Linked DNA regions of Cricetulus griseus. The protein of the gene in region 1 purifies or fractionates together with the protein of each later gene. This does not show direct contact. Links are inferred from orthologs where the notes say so. Each region holds a gene or a part of one and is shown in the gene's direction. Other genes may lie near its edges. The genes, in order: Kpna2, Polr3c, Phf10, Prmt1, Kifc1, Mta2 and Hnrnpu.

Region 1 (3,824 bases):
ACTCTTAGATGGGTTAGCAGATGGGGTAAATAAAGTAAAAGCTATCCAGTCCTGTTTCCATGAGAATTTTTTCTTAGGTGAGTTTTTATTTTTGTGGCAATCAGAGGACAACTTGCAGGAGTTCTTTCCATCATGTGAGTCCTGGGTTGTCAGGCTTGGTGGCAAGCACTTGAACCATCTCCCCATCCTCTTCCCCCTTTAAAACATTTGAAATAGGATTTCAGGTAGCTTAGGTTGACCTTAAGTGCACAATCCTTTTGCCTCAGTCTTTCCCATGTTGTACAGATTTTTAGATACCTTTATTTTCAAGGTACCTTGGAAATAAACTTCAACTTTTGATTTTCTTTTTTTGTTTCCCCTTAGGAAACTGCTTTCTAGGGAGAAACAACCTCCTATAGACAACATCATTCGGGCTGGTTTGATCCCAAAATTTGTGTCCTTCTTGGGCAAAACGGATTGTAGTCCCATTCAGTTTGAATCTGCTTGGGCACTTACTAACATTGCTTCTGGAACGTCGGAACAGACCAAGGCTGTGGTAGATGGAGGTGCTATCCCAGCATTCATTTCTCTCTTGGCATCTCCCCATGCTCACATCAGCGAGCAAGCTGTTTGGGCTCTTGGAAACATTGCAGGTACTTGTACTTAAAATTCTTTGGACTGAATGTAGCCAGTGTGATTAAAGGACACTGTTAAAGGTCCTGGTGACTTCTGGGTGGGGCCTTGAGCTTGCTCTAGGCCCTCCCATATTAGGAGGGGAAGAGGCATCTCACCATGCTGCTGGAGAAGCGATTGAGTATGTGACAGTCATTCAGTAGCAGATTCACTCATTCATCGTGTTTTTTTTTTTTTTTTTTTTCTGAAACTGGGTCTCACTGCTTACCACTGACTGTAGACCAGGTTAGCTTGGAACTCACAAAAATAGATCCTAGAATTAAAGGTGTTCACCAGCTAATCTTGCTTTCTGTTTCAGGTGATGGTTCAGTTTTCCGAGATTTAGTTATCAAATATGGTGCAGTTGACCCACTGTTGGCACTTCTTGCAATTCCTGACCTGTCTTCCTTGGCAGTAAGTTAATACCATAAATAAAGTATTTGGTTCTTATTTTCCCCATCTACTCAGAAATGAGCCTTATAATTAACTTTTCTTCCCCACAGTGTGGTTATTTACGCAACCTTACCTGGACACTTTCAAACCTTTGTCGCAACAAGAATCCTGCACCCCCCCTAGATGCTGTTGAGCAGATTCTTCCTACTTTAGTTCGTCTTCTGCATCACAATGACCCAGAAGTATTAGCAGATTCCTGCTGGGCTATTTCCTACTTGACTGATGGTCCAAATGAGCGGATTGAAATGGTTGTAAAGACAGGAGTTGTGCCCCAACTTGTGAAGCTTCTAGGAGCCACTGAGTTGCCAATTGTGGTAAGTACTGACCTTTTATTTACGAGCTTTAATAGTACAAGAGCATAATCAGTTGGTAGTATTGATACTGCCTGTGACTTTTGTAGAAGTTTTTGAATAGAGAATTTTTAGGGTGATGGTGGCACACACCTTTAATTCCAGCACCGAGAGGCAGAGGCAGGCGGATCTCTGAGTTAGAGGCAGACAGACTCCAAAGCCACAGAGAAACCCTGTCTGGGGGGGGGGGAACGAATTTTTAGAAGCCTGGAAGAATAATACCATGTAACTAATCTGCAGCAACATTTTTTCTATTTCAGACTCCTGCACTCAGAGCCATAGGGAATATTGTCACTGGAACAGATGAACAGACTCAGATTGTGATAGATGCAGGAGCACTTGCAGTTTTTCCCAACCTGCTAACAAACTCCAAAACTAATATTCAGAAGGAGGCCACGTGGACAATGTCAAACATCACAGCTGGACGCCAGGACCAGATACAGCAAGTTGTGAATCATGGCTTAGTCCCATATCTTGTTGGTGTCCTCTCTAAGGTAATGAAGTGAGTGTAGGATGTAGTCAGAAGATTGTTAATATTTATGACAGCCTATATGTCTTTAATCCCTGGGCTTGGGAGGTAGAGACAGGAGGAGGATCTCTGAGTTTGAGGACAGCGAGCTTCTGTTAGGTAACAGGCAGCAAGCACCTCCTAATGTTGGGTAGAACCAGCAGGTAGTTTAGTTCTGTCTGTGGAACAAACCCTACCTTTTGGAGTCTAACCTCTCGGGTTTCTGAACTAAAACCATTTTCTTCTTGCTTATCAGGCAGACTTTAAGACACAGAAGGAAGCTGTATGGGCTGTAACCAACTACACCAGTGGTGGGACTGTTGAACAGATTGTGTATCTTGTTCATTGTGGCATAATAGAACCTTTGATGAACCTCTTAAGTGCAAAAGATACCAAAATTATTTTGGTTATTCTTGATGCCATTTCAAATATCTTTCAGGTAAGTCCTAACAAGGCTGTGTGTTTGAATTGAGTTGATAGTTACTATTTAGGACTGGGGAGAGGACAGGTAAGTTTGATTACTAATAGTCTGCAGAATCAGAAGGGTGTTCATGTGCAGCCTTACTTTGTACATTTACTAATGAATTCTTAGTGGGGCAGTGGTGGCGCAGGAGGCAGAGGAAGCAGATCTCTGTAAGTTCAAGACCAGCCTAGTCTACAGGGCTCAACAGAGAAACCCTGTCTCAGAAAGAAGGAAAAATTCTATGTGGATCGTGGCTGGAGTTATACTGGTGTGCTGACCACATAGGTGCTGGGAATCAAACCCACATCCTCTGCAAGAAAAAAAGCTCTTAACCACTCACTGAGCCACTTCTCTAGCTCCTTTAAGGATGGGAAGGTGTCAAGTGGCCTAGGCTAGCTTGAACTCCCTATATAGCTGGAGATGTCCTTGAATTTCTTTCTGAGCCTATTGCCTCCACCTCTCATGGTTTTCACCACACTCCACACTCAGTTTTATATGGTGAACTACCTCACTAGTCCCATGGTTTGATTTTGTATTTTGGTGCTCCTGCCTGCCTGCCTTTGTAGCCGTTGCTGTTCTGGAACTTGCTCTGTACATCGAGCTGGCCTCAAACTCAGATCTGCCTGCCTCTGCCTTTAATCTTTCCCGAATGCTGGGATTAGAGGCCTGTGCCACTTCCACCTGGGGATTTAATTGAAATAAGTGTCGTTCCCCGCCCCCCAGCCCTATCCCTATTTGATTTCAAGTGTGCCAGCATCTGACATTTTGTGATAGTATTTCTACTAGTTCTGGAACTTTTCAAGTTGAGTGTAAGTTGGTATTGGTAGCTCACACTTAAAATCCTAGCACACAGGAGGACTGTGATGAGTTGAAGACCAGCCTGGACTACATAGTTCCAAGCCAGTCTAGATTATAGAGTAAACTAGAACTTTTTACAAAAGAAAGTTGAGTCTAGAGAAAGGAGTCACTGGTGTTTCATGCCTACATGTATGTAAATCTTTGTCATGTGGCCAGGTTTCCTGCTCACAGGAATCAGTTAAAAGTTGAAAATTTGGGGTCTGGTGTTGGTGGTGCACGCCTTTGATCCCAGCATTCATGAGGCAGAGGCAGGTGGATCTCTGAGTTCGAGACCAGCCTGGTCTACAAGAGCTAGTTCCAGGACAGGCTCCAAAACTACACAGAGAAACCCTGCCTCGAAAAAAAAAAAAACAACAAAAAAAAGTTGAAAATTTGGATGCCAGGTAGGGTGGGTGTTACTTGCCTTTAATCATACCACTCAGGAGGCAGGCAGATCTCTTGTTCTCTATAGAGCAAGTTCAGGGTAGCTCGGGCTTCATAGAAACCCTGTCTTGAAAACAACAAAAAAAGTTGTTTGGAAGGAATCTTACTTTATATAATT
Region 2 (3,824 bases), on another chromosome or scaffold:
CCTTTCTCATGAAAGCCTTAGCATTTTAGACATTACATTTCTATTACTTTTATAATTACACTTACTTAAGTCTTGTTATTATACTTTATATTATTTCTAAGTTTTTGTAGTTGGTTGATTTGTTTGGACAGGGCCTGGTCTGGAACTTGCTCTGTAGACCAGGCTGGCCTCTGTTTCCCTATGCTATGATTAAAGGCCCTGCTTTCTGAGTTTTTGACCCTTGTAAATTTGACCCTTGTAAATTTCATGAGTTTCTTGAGCCTTGTAAGTTTTAGCTTCCAGAGTCTTAAGAGCCTCCCTCTGGAATGGAAAGTTTAACTTTGGAGACTTTGGCTACACAACAACCCACAGTCTTCCCGTCTCAGCCTCTGGGATAGCTGGTATTAACTGCAGATATGCACCACTGTACTTGGTTGTACTTTCCTTTAATTAATTACTTATTAGTAGACATTTGGGTTGTTTCTTATTTTACTCTGTTTCTGTCAGGGTCTGACTATGCAGCACTGACTATTTAGAACACACTCTGTAGACCAGGCTGGCTCCAAACTCAGAGATCCACCTGCCTCTGCCTCTCAAGTTCTATGATTAAAGAGGCTCACCCCCTTGGCCTTTGTTTTACTCTTATAAACAATGATATATGAATATTTTTAGACATTTTTATGTTTTGAAATCTAACATTAGGACATCTGGTTTCAGTCGTGTTAGCAGTTCTGCATTCCCAGGCCCCACTTCCAGAATCCTCTTCTGTTTGTTCACAGATCTTCAGGTCCCTGCCTGGCAGCTATAACATCTCTAAGCAAGTCCTTGATCAGTACCTCACACTGCTGGCTGATGACCCAGTAAGTCTCCTCACCCTCTTGGTCTAGTTAAAATTTATCTCTGCCACTAAATCCTAATATTCTCCTGTAGCCTTCTTGTCTACTTAGGCATCCCAGACAAAGTCCCCATCATTCAGCAGAAACTACCTGCTTCAGATGCTTGGCCAGATTTGCTCCACGGCAAGCAGAATCACTGGACTTTACATTCAACTAACATCATTTACTCTTTCTTTTTTACAGCTAGAGTTTATTGGAAAGTCTGGCGACAGTGGTGGAGGAATGTATGTCATCAGTATCCTTGTCAATTGTCTGTTCTGTCAGAACCCCTGAGTTTGGAAGCAGAAGGGTGACCTAGAAAAGATTGTTTTTTGTTTTCTGTTTTTTTTTTTTTTTTTTTTCATTGAAATAGTCTCATGTAGCCCAGGCTGACCTTGAACTCACTGTGTAGCCTAGTTGTTAGCACTGAACCCCTGATCCTCCTGCCTCTACCTCCCAAGTGCTGGGATTAGAAGCATGTGCCACCCCAGGAAAGGAGTTTTCTGATCCCTAATATAACTAAACAACTTCAAAAGTTGAAATAACTTTCTATTAATTTTCTGTGAACTTTCAGTGAGTTACATTAATGAAAATCAAAACAGCCCGGGACTGCCATCATTCGGTAGCGCCTCACTCACAATGTACAAGGCTCTGGGCCAGACCAGCAGCCCTGCAACAGAGAAAGAAGAAGGTGGGAGAGGTGAGGCAGAGAGCTGGGGAAAGGGAGTATGATGGTCAGTGCTTATAATCAGAGCAGCTTGGAGACCGAGACAGAAAAGTTGAATGTTCAAAGTCAGTCTGGGATACATAGTAAGATACTGTCTCAAAAAAGGGGGGAGAGGCTGGAGAGATGGCTCAGTGCTTAAAAGCACTGACTACTCTTCCAGGGGACCCAGGTTCAATTCCCAGCACCCACATGGAAGCTCACAACTGTAACTCCAAGGTCTGACACCCTCACACATACAGGTAAAACACCAATGCACATAAAGTAAAATTAAGAAATAAGTTTACTTAAGTAAAATCCTTGCAAATGTTAATATACTTATATTATACATGAATTGTGAAGAGCAAAAATTATTTAATTTTTAGTTATAAACTTGGAATTTAGTCATAAAACTAAGTCACAATGACCAGGCCAAACATTACTGAATGCCCTTAACCTCTACAATAAAGACCTCCATAAGGCATTGGCCTCCCTAGCCACCGCGACTCTGGAGTCTGTCATCCAGGAGAGGTAAGAGGCTCTCTGATTGGGGTTGGACTCAAACACTTTCTAGCCGCACGCCATTTAACAGGTAATTTGGTTTTTATGGTATACTTTGCCATGCACACTTTCATCTTCCAGTGAAACTATTCTTCTCTGTAAAACTAATTCCTAGTTAGTAAATTAACCAGCCATCCTAAAGCTCTGTAATACAAGAGCCGTGGCCCTCAAAGGAGTGGGCATTTGGTGACAAGTTATGATTAACAGTGCCATCACCAACTTCTGAAGCTATGAAAGGACTCTTGACTGCTGTCCCCCTCTGCTCCTGACCCCACATATGGAATAGTACATCCACACTCTGAGATAAATATACCATGTGTTTCTTTGTTCCTTCCCAGATTCGGGTCTCGCTGTGCCAGAATATTCCGTCTGGTATTGCAGAAGAAACACCTGGAGCAGAAGCAGGTGGAGGACTTTGCCATGATTCCTGCAAAGGAGGCAAAGGATATGCTGTATAAGATGCTCTCAGAGAACTTCATATCACTCCAGGTAGCCACAGCTTTATTGCCTGCCGAGCGGCAAGCCTGACCAAGGCAGGAAAACCTCCTAAGGAAGTTACTTTGGGTTCCCAAGACAGACACTACAGCCACCTCTGAAACAGAAAAAAAGGATTAACACAGACATAGCAAATCCATGAAGAATCATGTAGAGTTTATCTGGCCTAGTAAGAGAGACAGGCAGAGCACACCAAGAAATCAGCTCTAGGCTGTAACTTTCCTGCCCTTTTCAGCCCCCAGCCCATTACTCCTGACCTTCTGAGAGCCTTAAATCTTTAATAACTCATTCAGCGTATCTTGGACCCTTGTAGAACTTATGTTGGGGAACTCTGTTGAGGAAGCAGATTGAATGGATCAATTCACCAAGCAAGTCAACTACCATCATTTCCATGTCTGTAAAATGGTGGTGAATGATGAGATAAGAACAGTGCAGGGCCTGGTGGTGGTGGCACTTGCCTTTAATCCCAGCACTTGGGAGGCTGAGGCACGAGGGTCTCTGAGTTCAAGGCCAGCCTGGTCTACAGAGTGAGTTCCAGGACAGTCTCCAAAGCTACAGAGAAACTCTGTCTCAAAACACCAAAAAAAAAAATAAATAAAAATCAAACAAACAAAAACAGTGTTGTTTAGGCCAACTGTGGTAGTGTGTACCCAGTACTTGGGAAACTAAGGCTGGAGGATTGAAAATTTGAGGCCATCATAGCTATGCAGTGTTACACTGTCTCAATTATTAATAAGTAAGGTATTATGAAAATCAAATACAATCCTCCTGGCATGTGTAGAGTTTATTCAGTAAATATTAGAAGCCTTTCCTTTCTTTCAGGATGCTGATAGAAAAATAGGAAGCCAGGCAGCCTGCTTCATGTGGTGATTATGTCATAAACATCACTATTGATTGCCTAGGGAAGAAAGAAGTGTCAGTAAACATGAGGGCTGACTGTGCCAGTGGATGGGTGTTTACTTTGCCAGTTCCAAAGAACAATTTCTCTTTATTTCTGTGGACATACAGGAAATTCCTAAAACCCCAGACCATGCCCCATCCAGGACCTTCTATCTGTACACGGTGAATGTACTGTCGGCTGCCAGGATGCTGTTGCACAGGTGCTATAAGGTAACAGAATTCGGGCTTTCTCCGTCCCTCACAGATGGCCTCACCCTCCCACCTCCCTTGCCCACTCCACGCCACTTAGAACTGTTCACATTTCTAGTCTG
Region 3 (3,810 bases), on another chromosome or scaffold:
AGTAGCTGAGTAACAGCTGCTGTCAGATGCCGGGAGAGCAGGGTATAAAATACACAGAGGATGGAGAGCAGTCAATGGGGACATTTTATATGTTTGTTTAACTCCATGATATTTATTATTTTGTAGAGACATTTGTGATTGTTTAGATATTGTTTTTATCATATTTATGTATAAGGTTGACTTTTTTAAAAAAATAAATAAGCCAAAAATTGTTTTTGAATGCCTCTGTCATCTTTTGCAAAGAAAATATTTTTAAAAAAGTAAAAGCAAATTATTATTTAGGTTTGACAAGGTACGAAAGTGGCAGTGGAACATTTAAAGTGAGACTGCTTTATAAAAGTTTGAGTTTAGATCTCTATGGTGCATCAGGAAAGAGATGCAATGCGTTTGACTGTGTTAGATTATTGCCCTGCTACCATCTTTGTCCCTCCCACCTTTTAACCATTTATTGACGCACACCTATATATAGTACATGTGAGCAGCGTCCGTGACGGTCAAGATTATGATGCTCTGTTATCCCTTCCTTGCCCTGGCATTGTAAGTGTAGGAAACTCCTTATATTTTATCCCATTCCATGTTTAAAGCCCAAATACTGTGTGTGTTTTTAATGTGAAAGATAATACTCAAAATATGCTTTGTATATTTCCTATTTGACTATAGTTTTTCCATGCCCAAAAACTTTTTATGTTTTACACGTCACAGTGACTGCTTCTCTCTTTTATCATAGTTCTTTTTAGACATGGAACAAGACTATGCATCCAACTCAGATTTCTATAGACATTTATGCATGACAATGTATGGACAAGACAGCTTCCAATTAAAATACTGAAATAGTGTCTTTTTTTTTTTTAGCTTAGATTTTGTAGGCTTAGCTCTATCACTGGAAAAACACCAGTTTTTGAAATAAAATGAACATAAGCTTAATATAAGCTTAAAACTTAGGCTTAGCTTTATGTGTGGTTATTTGGTATATGGATTTTCTTTCCCAACTATTAGTGGCATTTGACATCCTATTTCATTTTTCCTTCTGGTCTTTTTTTATAGAGATGATGCTGTGTGTGTAGGGAGCAGAGTGCTACATTTAGGCAACACACGTTGATGCGGTTTATGGAGTACAGTCTAGGCTTTCATTAGTTGGGGGTTTTATATTCTGATCCATCTCATATCCAGTTATGTCTTACAAAAAGGTTTTCATTATCAGATTACCAAAAGTAAAGATAAGGTAATAACAGAATCCCTTTTGAACCCATAGTGAGTTCTTCTGGCATGAATTTATAGCCCTCTTCTACCCTTCCAGCCAAAGGTCATTCCAAATGCTCTATGTGGAATTTGTCTGAAGGGTAAGGAATCCAACAAGAAAGGAAAGGCTGAATCACTTATACACTGCTCCCAGTGTGATAACAGTGGTAAGTAGAGATGTCTCCTTAAGATTTTACCTCACCCCTGCATATTGCCTTAAAAGCTAGGGTTTGTAGTTATCAGCTAGGTATCCACCAAAGAGTCAGCAAATGAATAGTGACTTGTTAGCTGTAGTCAGAACCCATGTATCTGCTACTTTGTATTTTGATGTGTCTATGGTAACATTAATCCTGGCAGCCATTCTTGGGAACTAATGTTTTATGTGCCTTAAGTTGAAAGTTCTGTTGTGAAATCCTATTAATGTTGGTTTTGATTTAGGCCACCCTTCTTGCTTGGATATGACCATGGAGCTTGTTTCTATAATTAAGACCTACCCATGGCAGTGTATGGAATGTAAGACATGCATTATATGTGGACAGCCCCACCATGAAGAAGAAATGATGTTCTGTGATGTGTGTGACAGAGGTTATCATACTTTTTGTGTGGGCCTTGGTGCTATTCCATCAGGTAAAGATGAAAAAAATACAAAAAAGCCCATTATCTTGTGTGATGAAGATCTCCCAGCATTCTTTTAAGGCTGTATAAATGACATGAACATGTTCCAATTATGATCAAGCTGTTACTGTCCATGTCACAGCTACCTGATTTTCATCCTTAGTGCAACCAAAGGAGAATTGAAATAGAATACTTAGGTTAGGTTTGGAAGTATTGTCTGAGGGATAGAATGAGCTGGTGTTTTCTACTAAAATTGCTAAAGTAACACCACCAGTTTGTTTCAATGCTTTCATTTTATTTTTAAGTTCGTCTATTTAGAAACTTAACAAAGTGACTGCTATGCCTTTATATATATACTAAGACATCTTCCTATAAAGTGAGGCAGCATGACAATTCCAGAAAACTTTAGGATGGACACAGAATCAAATAGTAAATCACAGTAATCCTATTGAAACATTATACAGGTAATTGTGCAATTTTAAGGACTTAAGTTGCATAGTTAACACTGTATAGTTCTCTATAAAACTCAGTTTCCTGGAATCCCTCCGTAAGGATGTGAATAATCACTCAGGTTCTGCAGTAATTCAGCTCAAGTGTGTGGTGCAGGTGCTAGTGTCAGAACAGTGGAACAGGCCACACAAAGCCAGATCCATTAACAAGTTCTACATTAGGATTGTGTTGTTGAGGTTTTAAAAGCATGATGGTATTTGAATTTTAGGATTACATATTTTTTTAAGGTACAAATGATTGTTTTGTGCCCTTTCCCCATCTTGTCTGTGCATTGAATTCCGAATTGTATTGGTTACACTGATTAAGGGTTGTTTACATTTTCTCCCTTGGCTTAAGGAGCTCAGTACTTCCCTCCCCACTGAAAAAAATCCCAGAGAGTTATCACTATGGACAGCTCAGGAATGAGTTTAGGTGGTTTGTACTCAGTCCTATAAAAATAAAATTCCACTCCATATTAACTAACAATTTTTCTCCTAGGTCGCTGGATTTGTGACTGTTGTCAGCGAGCTCCCCCAACACCCAGGAAAGTGGGCAGAAGGGGAAAAAACAGCAAAGAGGGATAAAATAGGTTTTTGACCTGACCCTCAGTTTGGGATATCTGGTGCCATTTTATTTACACTTTCATTTTTATGCCAATAAAGAACCTTTTTTGAAATTAACTATGACCTTAAACATCTTCAAGTTGATTTATTTCATTAGTAGCAACTCATACCCTTGAAAGAAAAAGTCAGAGAGAAATGTCTCATTTCCCAGATTTTAATCTCTTAGTGCTGTCTTTTTCCAGAGATCAGCAGAAAGAGGTAGCAACTTAATTTGAAATATTTCTTCTTGAGTCTGAAAAGTTACAGTCTTTTGAGACTGTCTTGACCTGCTTAGGTAGTATCAGTTACTTAATAACCAGAGCACTCCAATCTGGCCAACAGAGGAAAGGACAGAGGGCCCAACCATCTGGTACAACTGGATTTGGAATAGTCACCAGCTGGCACAGCAACAATGTGTAAATGCTTGCCTGCCAGGAGAGTATCAGGTTCCACAATCCCTACTGTGCACAGTGGCTCTGGGAAGCTTTTCCGACCTGGCTTTAGAACCTCTTTAAAACTGCAAGTGCCGTACTCCATTTAGTATGTCTACAGAATACATTCTACAGTCACCAGCCTTTATCTGAGTTATACAGCCTGTTACTGCAATAATCTTCTTACTCACCTGACTAACCAAAATGTATTTAAACATTTTATTGAGCAGACTCCTTTTTATGGGAATTTTAATCTCTAAAATAATTGTGCTTGCTGCTTTTCCTGCGTGGGGAGTAAACTGAGGTAACAAAACTGTATGGCTTTATTTTTCCATCCTAGTCTAGAAAAAAAGTAACCAGAATTTCACCAGGTCAAGTAGCAAGGTCCACAGCAAACTAGTCGCTCCGTGCAGATAAGGATTCAGAAGAGAATT
Region 4 (4,297 bases), on another chromosome or scaffold:
TTTAATCTCAGCGCTTGGGAGGCAGAGACAGGAGGATCTCCGAGTTCCAGGACAGCCAGAGAAATTCTGTCTCGAAAAAACAAAAAGAAAAATCATACTGGCTGGAAGAAGTTTACACAAGCCTTAAATCCCAGCACTTTGGAGACAAAGGCAGGCTGTACCATGAGACTCTGCCTCACACCAGATACCTTACGTGTGCAGCAGATGGTGCAGTGCTTGCCGCTCAAGACTTGACACACGCACGCACACGCACACTAAACAGTGTTAGGAGTCGGAAGGAAGAAGGTCATCTGAGCACGAGGAGGCCTGGAGTGGAGAGGCACATTTGGGAACTTAAAGGACCCTGTGCTTGGGCCGAGTACTGGTGGGACAAAAGGTAAGAGGCAGGGGCACAAACCCAGCAATTGGCATCCATCTTCAGGCCAGGAGTAACTTTCTGCAGATCCAGGGAAACTTCCTGGAGGAGATGGAGTCCAAATTGCCGCGTGGGAGTTGGCCAAACAAAGGGAGATGGGTGTTTCATGCAAAGGACTAGGAGGCCACAGGTCTTCAGAACTCGGCACAGTCCAGTACAAGGTTATGGCTCATCGCACTGACATTCACTACGACTCCTGACAAGTTTCAGGACCCCTGATGAGAACGCCTCCACATCTACTCACAGCGACTCGGCATTTTCCCCTAGCTCGCCCACGCGCCCCAGTTCCGGAGAAGCCACCGAACGTTGATGACTGATGTTCCTGGGAGCCAATCGCTTCCGCCCAAAGCCCCGCCTACCTCCTTGTGGGCCAATGGTCCCTGTCGTTCTTGGCCAGTCTCTCGAAGGGACTGGAACAAGAGCCCTGCAACGTCACGTTTTGCTCAGCTAATTGCGGCGACGGAGAGGCGGGCCATCTTAATGATCCACAGCAGAGTCTCTCGACATCCGCTTAGCGCGGAGCCCGCCGGGAAGCTTCAAGGCGGAGCTGGCCGGAAGGAGGCGGGAAGACCTGGTGGGATATCCTCCAATCATCACATGCGCTGCCTAAGATAGACAGACAGTTGTTCCCTTCCTAGCCGACAGGAGGGGGTGGTCCTTTGAACGCTAGGAGGGGAGGGCGCCCGAATTTTGATAGACGTGCTCAGCGCCCAATTGCAGTGCGAGGCGGTTAGATTGACGGCTGCGCCAGCCATTGGAAACTTATGGCGGGGTCTCGGGGGCCGGGCGGTGGACCCTCTGGTAAAAGGCGGTCCCCGGCCGGGGGGAGAGAGAAGAAAGGGGGGGGTCTCGGAGGCCGGAGGACTCGGGTGAAGATGGCGGCAGCCGAGGCCGCGAACTGCATCATGGAGGTGAGTAGCTGGGCTCTTTAGGCCAGTGGGTAGGGGGAGGACGACGGGTTACCCACGGCCTGAACTGTGGAGACGGGGCCTTGGGTGTGCTGGGCCTCGCGGAGGTCCGCATCGGGGGATGTGTTCAATCGTGACCGGGGCGACCCCAGCTTATGGGACTCTCGGACCCCGCAGTCGAGTCGAGGGCCGTCGCACGTGGTCGCGGGCCGGGGGCGCGTCCAGCCGGGCCGCACGTGGTCGCGCAGCGTAGCGTGGGGAGGGGGGTGTGCCACTCGAGGGGCCCCGCGGGTTCCACGTGCGGGACAAAGGCCCCGCCCCCGGCCCGGTGACCTGGGCTGCACTCCGGGGGTCCTGGGGGGTGCCACCTGCGTCCTGCTGTCCGCTGGGTGGTGGACATCCGTGCACCCTCGTGGGGCCTGACCTCACTTTCCTCCACTCTGAGTTACCCCTGTGCGGTTGGGGGGGGATGGGCAGAGCCCTGTGACCTCTCTGTTAGAGGATGGTGGGGCATCTCCACCGAGGAGATCCGGATCCGGCGCCGGGCACCCCCTCGTGGTCATTATGGGCTTGTGAAAGGGGCTCTTTTTCATGGGGCGTGGCCCAAAGCCCACCCCCTCATGGAAGCGCCCTCGGGTGGATGGTCAGAGGTCGGTCTTGGGGCTGGATGGCTATGTAGGCACGCAGACCAAGGGGCCTTGACCCCCACCCGACCCCTTTTTTAGGATTCTCACCTTTGCCTAATTTCCCCCCCAAAACAGAATCAAATTCTAGCACCTGGCTTATTTGCTTACAGTTGAGTGTTTCCACCCCTGAGCTGTATTCCTCAGTCCACTTTTTACTAACTTTGATGCAAAGTGGGTCTGGCCTTGAACTCACCCTGTAGCCCAGGCTGGCCTTGAACTTGCCATCTTTGCTTAAGCCTTCCGGGTAGCTCTCGTGAAAGACTTCACTACTAGGCCTGTAAATCAGATCCTCTCCTAGTCTCAGGTTTCAAACCCTCTTCAGGAAGCCGTGTGGTGGTGCATGCCTTTAATCCCAGGACTCGGGAGGCAGAGACAGGCGGATCTTTGTGTGTTCAAGGCCCATTAGAACAAGTTCCAGGACAGGCTTCAAAGCTACACAGAGAAACCCTGTCTCAAAAAAAAAAAAAAAAAAAAAAGCCAGAAACAGAACAAACCCTCTTCAGTCAGTTGTTAACCTGCTGGTATCTGTACTACTGAAAAAGAGAGGCCCACATGGGAACTCCCCCCACTGGCTACCCGACCCCTGAGGTGGTAGATCGTGGCCTCTCTGGCCTTAGATAGCAGTCATCTATCTAATGGGATAATGATGGGATATAATCTGGTGGTACCCATACCTCTTCAAGTTCTCTGGAGAGGAAGGTCAGTTGCTGGGACACCTGCCATGGGGATCAGTTCGCCTACAGTGTCACTGAAGTGACCCTGGGCCTGGCACTTGTGGACAAAGGAAAAAGAGGGCAGTTTTCAGTGTGGGGACCAAGGTGGGGTGTGAAAGGGGGGGCTTTCGTAAGCTCACACGTGGCGGTGGGGCTCAGGCGGATTTTGGCAGAAATATTTATCGTAACAGCTTGCCCCAGCTTTCCAAGGCATATTTTGTACTCCTGGGGGGCAGCCCTCTTCCGGGGGCAGGTAAAACAAAGAGCCTTGCTCTGTGTGTTCCTTGCCCGGGTGGAGCTGGGGTGGTGTACTCACTGTGGTGTGGGGGTATGCCACATTTCTCTATTGGAATGATCTTTGGCCAGGAGACAGGATTGTGATGGGGCAGACAGGTGCCCAGCACCCATTACCTGTCAGCCCCCTCCGGTTTATTCATGGCACTTCAGCCTGGTGTGTCTGTCAGGAAATGTCACCTAATCTAGGGGGGATTAGGTAGTGAAGGGGAGCAACAGCTGAAAGTGCCCATGTGCCTTGGCAGGTATTGGGCCCTCTGGCCTAGATAGGGTAGGTATGTGTGGCCAGTTATCTGACCAGAGAGGGACAACATGGGGCGGGCCACCATCTCTTCAGCCAACAGCTGGGACAGGAGACCCCACCTTCCTTTCCCTCCCCACTTGTATCCCTTCCTTACACAACTGCAGCCACACTGCTTGCTCCTGCTTACACCACTCCCATGCCCAGGAAAAGCCAACCTGCAAAACACTCACTGCCCCAAAGGCCTTCCCCAGCCACCCCAGTAGCTAACCCTTTTTCCCTGTTACTCTCTCCTAGAATTTTGTAGCCACCTTGGCTAATGGGATGAGCCTCCAGCCGCCTCTTGAAGAAGTAAATATCCTTTTGTGAGACCCCCCCAGCCCACTTGCATATAAGCATACTTTGATATGCACCTGGCTCCTCAGGAGGTCTATTCATCCTCTTGCTTCAAACCAGTTTCCCCTGCTGTGGCCCCTAAACACATAGGACAGACCCCTTCCTGGCCCAAGCTGGCTCCCCCAGAACCATGGCTGCTTCCTTAACTCCATCTCCAGCCCTCCTCCTCTGGCTTTCAATGTGTCTGCCCTGGCTCTGCCCTCCCTTCCCTCCCTCCCCAGCTGTGGGCTGAGCTAGAGACGGGCATAGAGCCTGGAGAGATGGTAGGCGAGGCGGCTGCTCCCTGGATGGTGCTCTGGGTGGGTTCTGAAGTGGATACCGTCCCTTGGGAAGAAAGATGCCGGAGGGGGCTGTAGGGCTGTCCCATTCTGAAGAGGGGCCTTCTTGCAGGTTGAGGAACCTCTGAAGAGCCCACCTGTGACCCTTTTGCTACTCCCCCTCTTTCAGGTTTCCTGTGCTCAAGCAGAAAGCAGTGAGAAGCCCAATGCTGAGGACATGACATCCAAAGACTACTACTTTGACTCCTATGCCCACTTTGGCATCCATGAGGTGAGTGAAGACTTACCCTAAAGCCAGTACATCCTAAAGGGCTGAAAGGTTGGGCGGGGGTGAATGAATCCACATGGGCCCTGCTACCCTTCTTC
Region 5 (4,546 bases), on another chromosome or scaffold:
TTGCTCTAGTCCCTCCCTCTGGTCACTGGAGTCAAATCTTACAAAAATTCAAATGTCTTTTGGGTATGGATAATATTAAAAATTGTTTCATGTTGTCTGTGCTCTATAAAGGCTGGCACTGGAGTTGGGTTACAGCCTGCTTTCTCCAGATGCAAGCATGGTTGTTTAGAAGTTTCCTCCAAGATCTTTTTTTTCCTGGTTCAGGCAGCCACCTGACTCTGTGACAGGGAGAAGGAGAGCAAAATAGAACAGCCCAGGAGAAGACACTATGTGCTTTAAAACAGGTAAAACAAAGTATTCCCAGTAGAGAATACGGCTGCCTGTCTTCCATTCCTTTCCTTGGTTTTATTAAACTCTGTAAAGTACACCCTCTCTTAATCTCTAAAACTTTTGCTTTTTTTTTTTTTTTTTTGAGACAGGGTTTCTCTGTGCTTTTTAGAGGCTGTCCTGGAACTAGCTCTTGTAGACCAGGCTGGTCTCGAACTCACAGAGATCCACCTGTCTCTGCCTCCCGAGTGCTGGGATTAAAGGCGTGCGCCACCAACGCCCGGCAATTTTTTTTTTCTGGCTACACTTTTATAATTAAACAAGTTTGTTTATTGAGCCTGAGGTGGTGGCACACGCATTATTATTATTTTGTTTTTGTTTTTTTCGAGACAGGGTTTCTCTGTGGTGTTGGAGGCTGTCGAACTCGCTGTTGTAGATCAGGCTGGTCTCGAACTCACAGAGATCCACCTGCCTCTGCCTTCTGATTGCTGGGATAAAGGCGTGCTCCATCAACACCCGGCTAAGCACAAGCCTTTAAAAAAATTCATATATTGCGTTCAGCCTGCACACACTCCAGAAGAAGGCAGCAGATCTCATTACAGATGGCTGTGAGCCACCGTGTGGGTGCTGGGAATTGAACTCAGGACCTTTAGAAGGGCAGCCAGTGCTCTTAACCTGTGAGCCATCTCCCCAAGCCTGGCACAGGCCTTTTGATCCCAGCACTCGGGAAGGAGGTGGAACTGTGAGTTCGAGACCAGCCTGGTCAACAGATGGAGTTCAGGGCAGCCAGGGCTACACAGAGAAACCCTGTCTCGAAAAACCAGACAAAACGAACAATATTCATTTACTTATCTAGGGGCGCAGGAAGGGAGGTCAGGGATTACCATGCCATTTCGCATGACATTTGGAAACACACTGCAACGGTTCTGTAGTCTCATCTTCCGCCTTCTCGTGCTTCCCCCCCCCCCCCTTCTTTTATCTCTCCTCTTGCGCTGCCGATTGAACTCGGGGGACCTCAGCATTCTAGGCAAACGTCACACCTGTCGGGCTGGCGACGAGCCTGCACTTCCCGCGGTCTCCTCTAGGTGGCGCTCGCTCCGCCCCGGCGCTGCGCAGGGCGCCTGGGCACATGCGCGTTGCCTTCCCTCCCGCGGACCCGCCCTCCCCCGGCTCCTCCACGCACGCGCGCTTCTGACGCAGCCGACGCCTCGGGAAGCCGAGCGGAAGTGCAGCGCGCTCGGCGCGAAAGAGGGGGAGAGGGCGGGGTTTAAACAAAAACAAGCACCAAGGGAAAGCGGATACGGAAGTGGGATCCCAGGGCCGGCACAGCCGAGGGCGTGGCCCCGGGGCGGGGAGCCCTGGGATTGGCCCGCGGCCGTGTCGCCGGCGCCGATTGGCCTCCGCGGACGGCGGTGAGTGCGCGGCGCGGCGCGGCGGTTGAAATTCAAAAGTGGCGGGTGCGGCGCTATCCCGGCTCCAGACCACTTCGCGGAGGCTCTGCTCGGGCTGCGTCGCGCGGGCTCGCGAGAGGACGACGGCCCCGGGTCGCTGGCCCCGGACCCCTTCCTTCCCTTGCATCCCGTCCCGGGCCGAGCACAGTGGACATGCAGGCGCAGGTGAGCGCGGCGGGGCCCGGCTTTATTGCAGTTGGTTAACGTGCTAACCCCATGTTAGCTAGGGCCTTTAATCCGTCCACTATGGTGGATGGCTAGGAAAGACCCAGAAGAAACATAATTTAAAACTGATTCAGTAACATGAAACTGGGAGTGTGACCCCGGCTCCCTGGAGCTTGCTCTGTGAACCAGGCTACTCTAGAACTCTGCCCACCCCTGCCTCCCTAGTGCTGGGATTAAAGGAGTGCACCACCACTGCCCGGCTGGAGGAAGGCAATTTTGTTGGGATGTTGGAAGTGAGATTTGTTTAGGAGATAAATTGAATGCAGAGACTGCTCTCTGTCGCTGGTTCTCAACCTTATTAATGCTGTGACTTTAATATAGTTTGTCGTGTTGTGGTGCCCCCTGCCCATAACATTGTTGGTAGCTGTAATTTTGCTACTGCCGTGAATCACAGTGTAAATATCTGATGCTCAGTACAGTCTAAGGGCAGTGTCTACCAGAGAACACTGTGGAGAGAGGGGCTTTTGAGGTTAGAGGAAATTGTCCTGTCTTTTGTACACTGATTGGAGTGATATTTGTTTTTGTTTTGTTTTTCGAGAGAGGGTTTCTGGTTTCTCTGTGGCTTTGGAGGCTGTCCTGTAACTCACTCTGTAGACCAGGCTGGTCTCGAACTCACAGAGATCCACCTGCCTCTGGCTCTCGAGTGAATTACTGCTAATTCATCAGCAGTAAAGTTGTTCTGGTTTTTGTTTGTTTGAAACAGGAGCTGACCATGTTACCCTGGCTGGTCTAGAACTGGCTCTGTAGATCCAACTGGCCTCAAAGTCTCAGAGAGTCAGTCACTGTTGTTCTTTTGTTTAAGCTGCAGCTGCTAATAAGGAAAGGAACAACGAATAAGCAACCCACGTGGAGTTTATTTATCAGAGAGGGGGGAAAGAGGGGATGGGCAGTCAGCCAATCCTAGGGAAGCCGAGAGAAAAAGAGTGAGGGGTGTGGGGCAGGACCTTTTAAAGGGAAGATTGCATATGCGCAGTAGGGCAAAGGTCGAAAGGCATGGCAGGTGAGTGAGTACTCGCTTGTTAGGGGGCGGGGTTAGGGTCATCCAAGTGTTTTGTTCTTACAATCCCGGCTGTTGTTTATTATAAAAGTTAGAGAATTGGGCGTGGCAGGTTAGGGAAGTAGGGGCGAAGATGTCTTAAGGCTGCTTCCTGCTGGCCTGGGGCGTTGATCGTCTTTGGGGGGTTGGGGGTGCTGCCACGTCCTGGAGTTGATTGTTGTTTCATTGTAGTCCGAGCCACTCTGGTGCCTTTTAGACCTGGCAAGATGTTTGTAGAATAGAGGACAAGGTTAAGTTTAGAAAAAAATTTTCTTAGGTCCTGTCATTTGACGGGAAGATTGTAAGATGAGGGAGGGGTTCCCGAGGAGTCCCAAGATGAGGGAAGGGAAATTGGGACTGGGGAAGGGTTGGATATTACCTGGAGTGAATCTGACCTGTTTGGATCTGATTCGGCTCCCTGGAACTTATAAGAGTCCTTAAAGTTTGGGAAAACAAAGATTAGACATATTAAATCATATCTAGGTGGTATGAAATCTTTCTGGTTACCTTTAACCAGAAGGCACAAACACTTGGTGATCCTTGTATCTTTAGATCCATGGTTTTTTGGCTGGCATTCCTGTAACAACAGCTAAGTAAATTATTGTGAAATACTTTGGAAATTAATGAGCAGAGTGTAATTAGAAAACAGCCTTGTAAAAATTGAGCCTTATTCTTCTGAAATAGGAGGTAAAGTGGATGATTTCAGTGTCCTCTGAAACCTAAGGGAACAGGGTCCTGTTGTAGAAACTGTGTATGAAGGGTGAGTCTCAGGTGGAGAAGTAAAGGGCTTGAGGTGGGATAAGTGAATCCAGTGGGGAAGGCCCTCAAGCTTAGCTGCTGTTGGAGTGACAAGAATTACTTTGAAAGGGCCCTTCCACTTAGGAGACAGGGGGGAGGGGCTCTGGTCTGGGGGAGAAAGAAGTACTTGATCCCCTATGTTAATTGGAGAGGTACAGGGGGTGGCACATGGCCGAGGTAGAGAGTGGTCAGCAAATTCCCAAAGGAGGGAACGGAGATGATGAAGTAAAGGTGTGAGCAAGCGGTCAGGGAGAGGCGAGGGTTTAGGTGAGAGGCCAGGTGTTAGAGCCGGCCGCCCGTACATGAGTTCAAAGGGTGAGATGAAAAGTGGTTGTTTAGGGAGAGCCCTAAGCCTGAAAAGGGCCAGAGGCAGAAGCTTTACCCAGTCAAGGTGAAGTTCCTGTGACATTTTAACCAGAACAGTCTTTAAAGAACGGTTAGTTCTCTCCACCTTCCCTGAGGACTGGGGGTGGTATGGAATATGAAAATGCCAAGGAATATTGAGAGCTTTAGACAGGGTTTGAGAGATCTGAGAGGTAAACTCAGGACCATTGTCTGACTGAAGAGAGGCTGGAATCCCAAACCGGGGGATAATTTCCCTGAGAAGGATGTTAGAGACAGTCTGAGCTTTCTTGTTAGTAGTAGGAAACGCTTCTACCCATCCTGAGAAAGTATCCACTAGTACCAGGAGGTATTTAACTCGCCTGACTGTGGGCATGTGGGTGAAGTCAAGTTGCCAGTCAGTCCCTGGGAGAGAGCCCCTAGCCTG
Region 6 (4,558 bases), on another chromosome or scaffold:
TAACAACCATCCTGGCTGGACTTAGATTGTCTTAAAGTCAAACGAAATCAAACTACAGTGAGAACTCAGAAATCACATAGTGAGGTTCATAATGGATCAGGTCACCTTCCCAGCTGAGCTGGTTGGGGCAATTTCTACCTAGGGGACGTGGCTGGAGGCTGCAAGCTTCTAAGGAATCGCTATGAGAGCAGAGACCGGGAGTGGGCTACCTACACCTGTGTGCTAGGCTTCCACGTGTATGGTAAGTAGTGAAGCCAGCATGCAGCCGAGCCCTTTAGCAGGGCTGGGAAAAGAAGGTGGAACCCATTCTTGGATCAGAATGTTGGGTGTGTGTCATGTGTCATGGCGGGGGGGGGGGGAGAGGCAAATCCAGGCCAACAGGTCCCTTTGGGAATGGAGAGGATTGTCTGGAGGTAGCCTGGAAATCCTAAGCACTGCAGCTCTAGGTTGTGGAAAGTGCCCTGGCTGAGGCTACCTGTTGTGTTAGGTGTGTGGCCTGATGGCTCTGATGGGACAGACATCAACTCCCTTTGCCGCTCCCACAATGAACGTGTGGTGGCTGTAGCAGACGACTTCTGCAAAGTACACCTTTTCCAGTATCCGTGCGCTCGAGCCAAGGTGAGTCTTTAGAGGACCGTTGGGCCCCAGTGGGTAGTCTTGGGACCCTATCACTGCTGTGACTGTACATTTTTTTCTGGTGCAGGCGCCAAGCCGTATGTACTCAGGCCACGGCAGTCACGTGACTAGCGTCCGGTTCACGCATGACGACTCATACCTCGTCTCCCTAGGTGGCAAGGACGCCAGTATCTTTCAGTGGCGAGTGTTGGGCGCTGGGGGCTCTGGGCCCTCTCCTGTCACGCCTTCTAGAACTCCCTCTCTGTCCCCTGCCTCCTCCCTGGACGTGTGATGAATGCTGGATGGTTTTGTCCCTCTGGTACTGTGGCCTTGCCCCGCCCTGGCCAAAACCCCTAGGACCAAGTGCAGCCCTTTTCCTGGGCTGGCTTTTTCTTTGATTTCAGTACATTCCCAGTTGCGCATTTTCCTGGAGGGGCGAACCGCCCCATTGCACACACGATAACGACTCGCTGGCTGAACCAGGCAACCCCAGCTCTGACTCCCTTTGCCTGGTGAGGGGCAATAAAAAGAAAGAAAGTCACCGCTTGGTGCTTTTGTGGAGTGCGGCGGTTGCCTCAGGGGCCCGGTAGGGTTGGGATGAAAGAAAAAAGTGCAGGGCGGGAAGGGAAAAAAGGAGCTCGGACCAAATATGCAAATAACAGGCAAAGCGGCTTGCAAATAACCTCAAGAAGCGCGAGGGTGCGCGCGCGCCTTGCGAGGCCACTGTCGGAGCTGCAGGGACACATAGAGTAAAGAGTTAAATGCGGCTCCCTGCCGCCCTCGGGGGCGGGGTCGAGCTGCAACGGAAATAACCGAGCGCGGGGCCGCGGCTGAGCGAAAAGAGCCGAGTTCCTTCCGGAAGTGGCCGATCTGCGGGGTCTTGCTCTCCGACCTGAGCCGAGCGCTGGGCCTTGTTCTCCGGATCGGCCGAAGGTGTTCCGGAAGGAGGCGAACCCGGACGCGGGCAGGGCAAACCTTCTCAGGGGCTGGCACCATACGGCGTCTGCTGGGACTCGGTGAAGACGCTAGGAGCCGGAATCTGTCTCCGGTCAGGCAGGAACCGAGCTCGTTCCGGAAGAAGCCGAGCAGACCGGCGCCGGCCTGGGTATCCCGGGCGTGAGGCTATAGCAGTGTCGTCGTGGTCTTCGTGCGAGCAGTGATGAACCGCGACGGCTGAGCGAGCAGAGGTGCCGGCTGCGCGGGCCCCATCGACACTTCCGCGAAGCGTCAGCCCCACGCTGGGGGCATCGTCTGGAGCTAAGCTTTACCCCCGCGAGCCTCCGGGTCCTCTTTGTGCGGCCGGAGGCCGCGGCGGGAACGGCCATGGCGGCTAACATGTACCGTGTGGGAGGTGAGTACACCGGGCGGAAGAGGTTGGGGACGGGACCAGGGAGACTCGGTGTCCGCAGGCGCGGGGAGCAACATCTGGGGTCGTAGGGGCCACAGCGCCGACCGGAACCGGAACCGAGACCTATGGTTCCGCGGCGGCGACGCTACTGGGAGCCGAGTCTCCCGCAGAGGCTTACCTACAACGATCGGTGCTCTTGAGTCTGCGACTGGATCCCGGGGTGGGAAGTAGGCTTGGTTTGGAAGGGGACTGAGTGACTGCGGGGCCAGCTGCGGGGAGCCAGTCGCTCAGGGGTTTTCTTTTCTTTGGCGGCTTGTTCGTTCACGAAGGTGAGGCCTGAGGTGGGGGGAACAATTTACTCAATTCTCCCACGCAGGGGTGCAACTCCAATGCAGAGTTGTGTGGACTACAGGGAAATCCTTGTTATCTTTTTCCCCCTCCTCTCTCACTTCTTGGTTTTTCGACTCTGTCTGTCTGTCTCTTTGGTTTTTCGAGACAGGGATTCTCTGTAGCTCTGGCAGTCCTGGAACGCACTCTGTAGACCAGGCTGGCTTCGAACTCAGAGATCCTCTTGAGTGCTAGGATCTGACTTTTGAGTGAGAATCTGATTTTAGCGCTAAGTGTTGCAAGGGTGGGAGTAAAAACTTTTCTCCCTCCCCCCCCGCCCCCCCCCCCCGGCTGTCTTAGAACTCAGGAAATAGACCAGGTTGGCATCGGACTCAGATCCACCTGCCTCTGCCTCCCTCTGCTGGGATTAAAGGTGTGAGCAATCACTGTCTGGATAATTCTTTTATTTCTTTTCTCGTTCTTTTTTTTTTTTTTTTCCTCGAGACGGTTGATACTTATTTTCTTTTGTTTTCTCGAGACAGGCTTTCTCTGTCTATCCTTGGCTGTCCTGGAAATTGCTCTATAGACCAGGCTGTCCTCGAACTGGAAGAGATCTGCTTACCTCGGCTTCCTGAGTGCTGTTGGCCACCACTGCCCAACTAATACTTTTCTTTTGCGGGGGTGGGGGGATGGGGGGTGGGGTTCGAGACAGAGTTTCTCTGCGGCTTTGGAGGCTGTCCTGGAACTAACTCTGTAGACCAGGCTGGTCTCAAACTCAACAGGGAACCACCTGCCTCTGCCTCCTGAGTGCTGGGGTTAAATGCATGCGCCACCACCTTCTCTAATACCTATTTTCTTTTCTTTTTTTTTTTTTTTTTTTTGGTTTTTCGAGACAGGTTTTTCTCTGTGTAGCTTTGGAGCCTATCCTGGAACTCGCTTTTGTAGACCAGGCTGGTCTCGAACTCACAGAGATCCACCTGCTTCTGCTGGGATTAAAGGCGTGCATCACCAACACCCAGCTATACTTCTTTTCTTAAGTCTTTCCTCTTGCACATCTCCACATCTCTACCTAGCATTTTGTCTTTTTTTGGTCCACCCAAATCCACTTTCTCTTCTGGGTGCTCTGGTTTTCTTCTGATCTTGTTTCTCCCCACCCCCTTCTACAGATTACGTCTATTTTGAGAACTCCTCTAGCAATCCTTACCTGGTTAGACGGATTGAGGAGCTAAACAAGGTGAGTGGAGCAGAAATGGAGCAGTTTCTTTCTTCTGGAGTCTAACTCCAAGTGGAAGGGAGAGCCAGCCTTACCTAGGCTTAGAGCCTATACAGGTGAGCGAGCGTTCATTCCATGTATAGAGCTGCTGAGAGCTTAGCTGAAGCTTTATCATTCTCACATCTGGGGATAAAAGAATCCTGTCTCTGTTGTTTTTTTTTTGTTTTTTTAAATATACAGTGTCTATTTTGCAGCCTTGGTTGCCTGGAACTTTCTGTGTGATCAGGTTAGCAAACTTATGGAGACCCATCTCATTGGTCCTGTAATTATCTTTGAATATTAAGTCTTCATTGCTGAGTTTTTGGCCTCTTCTACTTAAGTCCTTAGAGAGTGCCTGTTAGTGTACCTCCACTTTCAAATGGCTAATTTTCATTGCCCTGTTTTTCTTCCTTCTTTAGACTGCCAATGGCAATGTGGAAGCAAAGGTTGTCTGTCTCTTCAGGAGAAGGGATATTTCTAGTAGCCTCAACAGCCTGGCTGACAGTAATGCTAGTGAGTGTCTTCATTCCTTCCCCTTTCCCCCCTCCCCAGGATCTGAGGACTAGACTTGTTCCTGCAGGTGTTTCCCCTGGTAACACGCCCAAGGCAGGGTATGAGTTTGGAGGTGGGAAGTGCCTGGTCTGCAGAGCAAGGCCTGTTGTTACATGTTGGGGCTGGGGCTGGAAGCCGGGTGGGGAGACCATGATCAGAAAAGCCAGAATGTGGTGTGTGTGTGTGTGTGTGTGTGTGTGTGTGTGTGTGTGTGTGTGTGTGTGTGTGTGTGTGTGTAAGGAGAGATACTTAGATAGGGAATGAAAAGAGCTTTAGAGAAGGCACGTGGGGACATTTTGGGTACTTTGGGACAGTGGTTAGTGAGCGATGGTCAAGGTGGAGAGGAAGATACTGTTTTGAGAATCCTGCATAGTAATGGGGGAGGCTTATCCTGTCGTCTGGAGGTGAAGCCAAAACATTGACGAAGCTGACGGAAGCTAGAGGGCAGGAAAGCGCTTGAGCTT
Region 7 (4,540 bases), on another chromosome or scaffold:
CAGATGCACAGAAAGAAGACAGGGCCAACCATAGCTTTACTGCCAGAGTACTTGGTTTTGTAGAAACAGGGTCTCAGGTAGCCCAGATTAGCTTTAAATTCTTTATGTAGCCAAAGATGACACACACACACACACAACCTTTTTGGTTTTTTGAGACAAGGCATCTTTATTTAGCCTTGGCTGTCCTGGAAATAGCTCTGTACACCAGGATATTTGGAGCTGGGAGATCTGCCTGCCTCTGCCTCCCTGGTGCTAGGATTAAAGGTGTGTGCCACCACTGCCTGGCTGACTGAATTCTTGATCTTCTTGCCTGCATCTCCCAAGGGTTGTAATTATAGACCTGTATAAACACACCTATTAGGCACAATCTACACAGAATGGCCCGTGCAGAAAATAAATTCTATTTCTACCTAAAAGTTTCAAGAACATAACATGTTTTTAATTACAGAGAAAAATAGCAACAATTTTTTGTTTGTTTGTTTGAGATGGGGTCTGTCTGACTATACAGCCCAAGGCGGCCTGGACTTTACTATGTAGCCCTGGCTGGCTTTCAACTCTTGATACTTCTGCCTCAGTCTGCCAAGAGATAGGACTGCAAGTGTGTAGACAACTCAGTGTGTGTCTGAAAAAACGGGGAGAATCAAAGTGCATTAAAATTTAGCTGGATGTCCCTCTCATGGTTAACTAAGGGAAGTCCTTCCTGCAAGAGGCCTGTCTTTACAGTGAGTCTAGGGGAATCTTCCATGCAATTCTAGGGGTTACTCAAGGGTCACTAGTAAAGACGGTGAGAAGTGCACAAGGCCCACACTGCATGCCGTGCGGCACGGAGCGGTAGGGCAAGCCTGCGCCTCCCCAGGCCTTGCACCACCGGGTATGGAAGAGACAAAAGAAACGCTGGGGCCTCGCCCTTGCGGAACTTAAAAAGTCCGATCGGCAAGGCAGGGCTTGTAAAAAATTAAACTGCAATGAAGTGGAGGAAGAAAAAAACAAAACACAAAACAAAAAACCACCTCTGTCTAACAGCCGCTTATTTGTGCTCTGCGGAGCAGCAGCGGAAACTTGGCGGAGTCTTAAAGCGAGAGCCGGAGGGACAGACAAAAAAAAAGACAAACTAAGATGGAAGAAAGGAGGGTGTCCTCCAGCGGGAAATGCCAGATGAGGACGCAGGGCGGGTGCAGGGGAGCCTCCTCCGGGCCCACGGAGGCGGACGGCCCGTGGAGCGCGGCCGCCGAGAAGCCGGAAAGGCCGGCGGCCGCCGCGGCCAGTCGGTTTAACCGAAAGGCGGCTTCCTGAGCCTCCATTTGCGCGCCGGGGCCCAGCGCCGAGGTCGCCCCGTGGGGGCGGGGCGGGGAAGGGGCGGGGCCTGCGCGCGCAGCCGCCCTAGCGAGCCCCGCCCCGGCAGGGGGCGGGGCGCCTATATTACGTGCGCGGCGCCGCCCCGGCGAGAGGACGTTGCGTGCTCGCTCGCGCCAGGCGAGTCTCCGCGTCTTGCCTCGCGAACTCGGTGAAAGGAATTGGCGCCGTTCGACACCAGGCGGGTCCGCTCTGCAGCACTCAGCCATCTCCAGCCGCAGCCGCCGCCCGGGCCGACCAGCAGCCGCCGCCACAGGCCGAGGGAGCCAGCAGTCCGCGGTGAACCGGGGCCCTCACCATGAGTTCTTCGCCTGTTAATGTCAAGAAGCTGAAGGTGTCGGAGCTGAAGGAGGAGCTCAAGAAGCGGCGCCTCTCCGACAAGGGCCTCAAGGCCGATCTCATGGATCGACTCCAGGCCGCGCTGGACAACGAGGCCGGCGGCCGCCCCGCCATGGAGCCCGGGAACGGCAGCCTCGACCTGGGCGGCGATGCGGCCGGGCGCTCGGGGACGGGCCTCGAGCAGGAGGCCGCGACCGGCGCCGAAGACGACGAGGAGGAGGAAGGCATCGCCGCCCTGGACGGCGACCAGATGGAGCTGGGCGAGGAGAACGGGGCGGCGGGGGCGGCTGACGCGGGCGCGATGGAGGAGGAGGAGGCGGCGTCGGAAGACGAGAACGGCGACGACCAGGGCTTCCAGGAGGGGGAGGACGAGCTCGGCGACGAGGAGGAGGGCGCGGGCGACGAGAACGGCCACGGGGAGCAGCAGTCCCAACCGCCGGCGGCGGCCCCGCAGACCCCGCAGCAGCGCGGGGCCGGCAAGGAGGCCGCGGGCAAGAGCAGCGGCCCCACCTCGCTCTTCGCGGTGACGGTGGCGCCGCCCGGGGCGAGGCAGGGCCAGCCGCAGGCCGGAGGTAGGAAGGCGGAAGGCGGCGGGTGAGGGCTGCGTGGTGGGCGGGCGGGCGCGCGGCTTGTAGGCCCGCGTGGGGACCGTGCCCCAGGCCGGCCGGGGCCCCAGGGGCGAGCGACGCGGGCGGGCGGGGGGGGCGGGGGAGCCCCGGGGCCGCCGAGAGGATGGGCTCGCCATGCCGGCGGCGCCTCCTCCATTATGTGTGTCGGGCGCCGGGGGGAGCTGCAGCTGCCGCGGTGGGGGAGGAGCCGGGCGGGAGCGGCGGCCGCTGGAGCGCTGCGTGCGCGCGGTTCGGGCACATGTCTGGGGGGAGGGGGAAGGTCCCGGGGCGGGCGGGCTTTGGCGGCTCAGCGCCGCGGTATTGTGCAAGGAGCGCAGGGGCTCGGTGTGACGTCACTTCCGGCGGGAGGCGCCGGGCGCGGGGAGTGAGGCGGAAGCTCAGTACAATGCGGCGGCGGGGCACGCGGGCTCGGATGGGGGAGGGGAGGCGGGCCCACGCTGCCCTGCCCTCCCCCCCACACCCCCCGCCGCCGCCGCGCGCACGGCGCGCAGCACGTGGGCCCGGACGGCGGGCGCGCGGTTTTAGTCCTTAAATGCATTCCGGAAGGTTACCCTAGGCTGGCAGGATTAGCAGCGTCTTTAGACTGCGTCACCGTCTCCAGTGCAGTTCCAGGCTGATGGATACGATTTTTTCTAGATTCATATTAGTTTCGTGGGTTAAAAAGTCTCAGAACTCGCCTGGCGTTGGTGCCATACGCCTTTTTCCCCAGCACTCGGGAGGCAGAGGCAGGCGGATCTCTGTGAGTTCGAGACCAGCCTGGTCTACAAGAGCTAGTTCCAGGACAGCCTCCAAAGCCACACAGAAAAACCCTGTCTGGAAAAACCAAAAATAAAAAAGTCCGAGATCCAGTCTAGGAGGGAAAAAATAACAGCCCCTAAAAGTCCCGGAACAGAAACGGGAGCTTTTCTCTATAATTCAGTCTGTGGCCTGATGATTTAAGGCTGTGTTCTGTGTCGTTATAGGAGACGGTAAAACAGAACAGAAAGGAGGAGATAAAAAGAGAGGTGTTAAAAGACCGCGAGAAGATCATGGCCGAGGATATTTTGAGTACATTGAAGAAAACAAGTACAGCAGGTAGAGGATCCTAACCTAGTTTTATTTGTCACCCAGTTTTTATGCGTGGTTGGGAAAGCTTTATCAGGAGACGATTCTGTCTTTCAGAGCCAAGTCTCCTCAGCCACCTGTTGAAGAAGAAGACGAACACTTCGATGACACAGTGGTTTGTCTTGATACTTGTAAGTGAAGCAAACTTTCCCGCTCTTTTTCTCAAATATTTAAGTGCAGTGCTATTTTGGTTTAACTCTTAGGAAAAGTGTGTTTGTATATCTTAAAGTGGAGAAAACCCGTTAGATTGTTTTAAATCAGGAAGATAATAGCTCATGTTCAGGTTACAGTAGTTTTATGTTTAGCGACACTTCAGTTGTATTGCTGTTTTTACAAGCTCTACTAATTGATACTTATGTCATGGAAGTTCCCAATATTTAGGGATGTAAAACTAATACCGATTTTTGTTCAGCTTTCAGAAACTTGTTTTTAAAACCTGCCTGTAACATGTCCTTAGATAGGTAATATGAAAATTAAAATTTTTCTGTGGAGCTACTATATTAAGTGAGCTATTTGGGCTAGTTGAATACTTACTAACGATTTTCCCATTAGCGCACAAGTACATTCCCTATTCTAAGGATTGTCATATTACCTTTTCAATAACTGCTCTTTTGTTCTCAATTCCAGTTCAGTAGCTGCTGCTCTAACATAAGTTGATTTCTTCCAAAGACCTGGGGCAGCAGCAGTGGGCTATCTGAGCCACTAGCTTTCTTCAGCAGCGAATGGTATCAATGGCAGCGCTGTAAATATGCTACTTTAGAGTATGAGGAAGTATTGCAAGCCATGAAATGGGCTTTAGCTGTCAGATTTGTATTTTGATCCTTTCAAGAAGTTTGTTAGTTTAGTATTTGATAGGGATGTATAATGCTTGGTGTGAGCAGAACAAAAGGTGCTTGAATAAAGAGTTTTAAAGGGTTTCACATGTTAGAAAGGGTTAAAAACTTGTATTCCCTTGTTTACTTATACACATTGTGTTCAGAGTCCTGAGAGTTAAATGTAACTTGGCTGCTTTCTGTCAGTTAAGTCTTGAAGAAAGAGAGGAGAAAACAGCTGATTTGGATTTTTTTTTTTTTCTGAAGTGTAAAAGATTTTGGAATTCACAAGGTGCTTTAGCC

What was found.
Region 2: the proteins of Kpna2 (region 1) and Polr3c purify together in Homo sapiens (co-immunoprecipitation; 3 studies listed by BioGRID and IntAct, with this or other methods). This does not show direct contact. The link is inferred for Cricetulus griseus from reciprocal best matches to the Homo sapiens genes KPNA2 and POLR3C.
Region 3: the proteins of Kpna2 (region 1) and Phf10 purify together in Homo sapiens (co-immunoprecipitation; 3 studies listed by BioGRID and IntAct, with this or other methods). This does not show direct contact. The link is inferred for Cricetulus griseus from reciprocal best matches to the Homo sapiens genes KPNA2 and PHF10.
Region 4: the proteins of Kpna2 (region 1) and Prmt1 fractionate together in Homo sapiens (co-fractionation; 3 studies listed by BioGRID, with this or other methods). This does not show direct contact. The link is inferred for Cricetulus griseus from reciprocal best matches to the Homo sapiens genes KPNA2 and PRMT1.
Region 5: the proteins of Kpna2 (region 1) and Kifc1 purify together in Homo sapiens (co-immunoprecipitation; 4 studies listed by BioGRID and IntAct, with this or other methods). This does not show direct contact. The link is inferred for Cricetulus griseus from reciprocal best matches to the Homo sapiens genes KPNA2 and KIFC1.
Region 6: the proteins of Kpna2 (region 1) and Mta2 purify together in Homo sapiens (affinity purification with mass spectrometry; 4 studies listed by BioGRID and IntAct, with this or other methods). This does not show direct contact. The link is inferred for Cricetulus griseus from reciprocal best matches to the Homo sapiens genes KPNA2 and MTA2.
Region 7: the proteins of Kpna2 (region 1) and Hnrnpu purify together in Homo sapiens (affinity purification with mass spectrometry; 3 studies listed by BioGRID and IntAct, with this or other methods). This does not show direct contact. The link is inferred for Cricetulus griseus from reciprocal best matches to the Homo sapiens genes KPNA2 and HNRNPU.

The regions. Positions count from the first base shown.
Region 1 is NC_048600.1:119,941,111-119,944,934, reverse strand, and holds part of Kpna2 (importin subunit alpha-1), read left to right. Parts: intron 1-363; coding exon 364-632; intron 633-970; coding exon 971-1,065; intron 1,066-1,154; coding exon 1,155-1,418; intron 1,419-1,714; coding exon 1,715-1,948; intron 1,949-2,218; coding exon 2,219-2,401; intron 2,402-3,824.
Region 2 is NW_023276806.1:59,781,890-59,785,713, forward strand, and holds part of Polr3c (DNA-directed RNA polymerase III subunit RPC3), read left to right. Parts: intron 1-758; coding exon 759-839; intron 840-1,058; coding exon 1,059-1,110; intron 1,111-1,385; exon of another isoform or gene 1,386-1,524; intron 1,525-2,027; coding exon 2,028-2,088; intron 2,089-2,431; exon of another isoform or gene 2,432-2,456; coding exon 2,457-2,607; intron 2,608-3,621; coding exon 3,622-3,723; intron 3,724-3,824. UniProt on the Homo sapiens protein: DNA-dependent RNA polymerase catalyzes the transcription of DNA into RNA using the four ribonucleoside triphosphates as substrates.
Region 3 is NC_048595.1:293,991,357-293,995,166, reverse strand, and holds the end of Phf10 (PHD finger protein 10), read left to right. Parts: intron 1-1,297; coding exon 1,298-1,406; intron 1,407-1,677; coding exon 1,678-1,866; intron 1,867-2,128; exon of another isoform or gene 2,129-2,841; coding exon 2,842-2,927; 3' UTR 2,928-3,036; downstream 3,037-3,810. Other genes in the region: C2H6orf120 (UPF0669 protein C6orf120 homolog), read right to left, coding at 3,798-3,810. UniProt on the Homo sapiens protein: Involved in transcription activity regulation by chromatin remodeling. Belongs to the neural progenitors-specific chromatin remodeling complex (npBAF complex) and is required for the proliferation of neural progenitors.
Region 4 is NC_048599.1:153,870,160-153,874,456, reverse strand, and holds the start of Prmt1 (protein arginine N-methyltransferase 1), read left to right. Parts: upstream 1-1,219; 5' UTR 1,220-1,290; coding exon 1,291-1,326; intron 1,327-3,554; coding exon 3,555-3,608; intron 3,609-3,813; exon of another isoform or gene 3,814-3,913; coding exon of another isoform or gene 3,914-3,916; intron 3,917-4,100; coding exon 4,101-4,202; intron 4,203-4,297. UniProt on the Homo sapiens protein: Arginine methyltransferase that methylates (mono and asymmetric dimethylation) the guanidino nitrogens of arginyl residues present in proteins such as ESR1, histone H2, H3 and H4, FMR1, ILF3, HNRNPA1, HNRNPD, NFATC2IP, SUPT5H, TAF15, EWS, HABP4, SERBP1, RBM15, FOXO1, CHTOP, MAP3K5/ASK1, MICU1 and NPRL2.
Region 5 is NW_023276806.1:232,112,928-232,117,473, forward strand, and holds the start of Kifc1 (kinesin-like protein KIFC1), read left to right. Parts: upstream 1-1,724; 5' UTR 1,725-1,871; coding exon 1,872-1,883; intron 1,884-4,546. UniProt on the Homo sapiens protein: Minus end-directed microtubule-dependent motor required for bipolar spindle formation. May contribute to movement of early endocytic vesicles. Regulates cilium formation and structure.
Region 6 is NC_048596.1:51,151,775-51,156,332, reverse strand, and holds the start of Mta2 (metastasis-associated protein MTA2), read left to right. Parts: upstream 1-1,485; 5' UTR 1,486-1,938; coding exon 1,939-1,966; intron 1,967-2,239; exon of another isoform or gene 2,240-2,292; intron 2,293-3,456; coding exon 3,457-3,524; intron 3,525-3,961; coding exon 3,962-4,055; intron 4,056-4,558. Other genes in the region: Eml3 (echinoderm microtubule-associated protein-like 3), read left to right, coding at 143-241, 488-618, 704-907. UniProt on the Homo sapiens protein: May function as a transcriptional coregulator. Acts as a component of the histone deacetylase NuRD complex which participates in the remodeling of chromatin.
Region 7 is NC_048598.1:15,817,596-15,822,135, forward strand, and holds the start of Hnrnpu (heterogeneous nuclear ribonucleoprotein U), read left to right. Parts: upstream 1-1,441; 5' UTR 1,442-1,651; coding exon 1,652-2,264; intron 2,265-3,283; coding exon 3,284-3,395; intron 3,396-3,482; coding exon 3,483-3,556; intron 3,557-4,540. UniProt on the Homo sapiens protein: DNA- and RNA-binding protein involved in several cellular processes such as nuclear chromatin organization, telomere-length regulation, transcription, mRNA alternative splicing and stability, Xist-mediated transcriptional silencing and mitotic cell progression.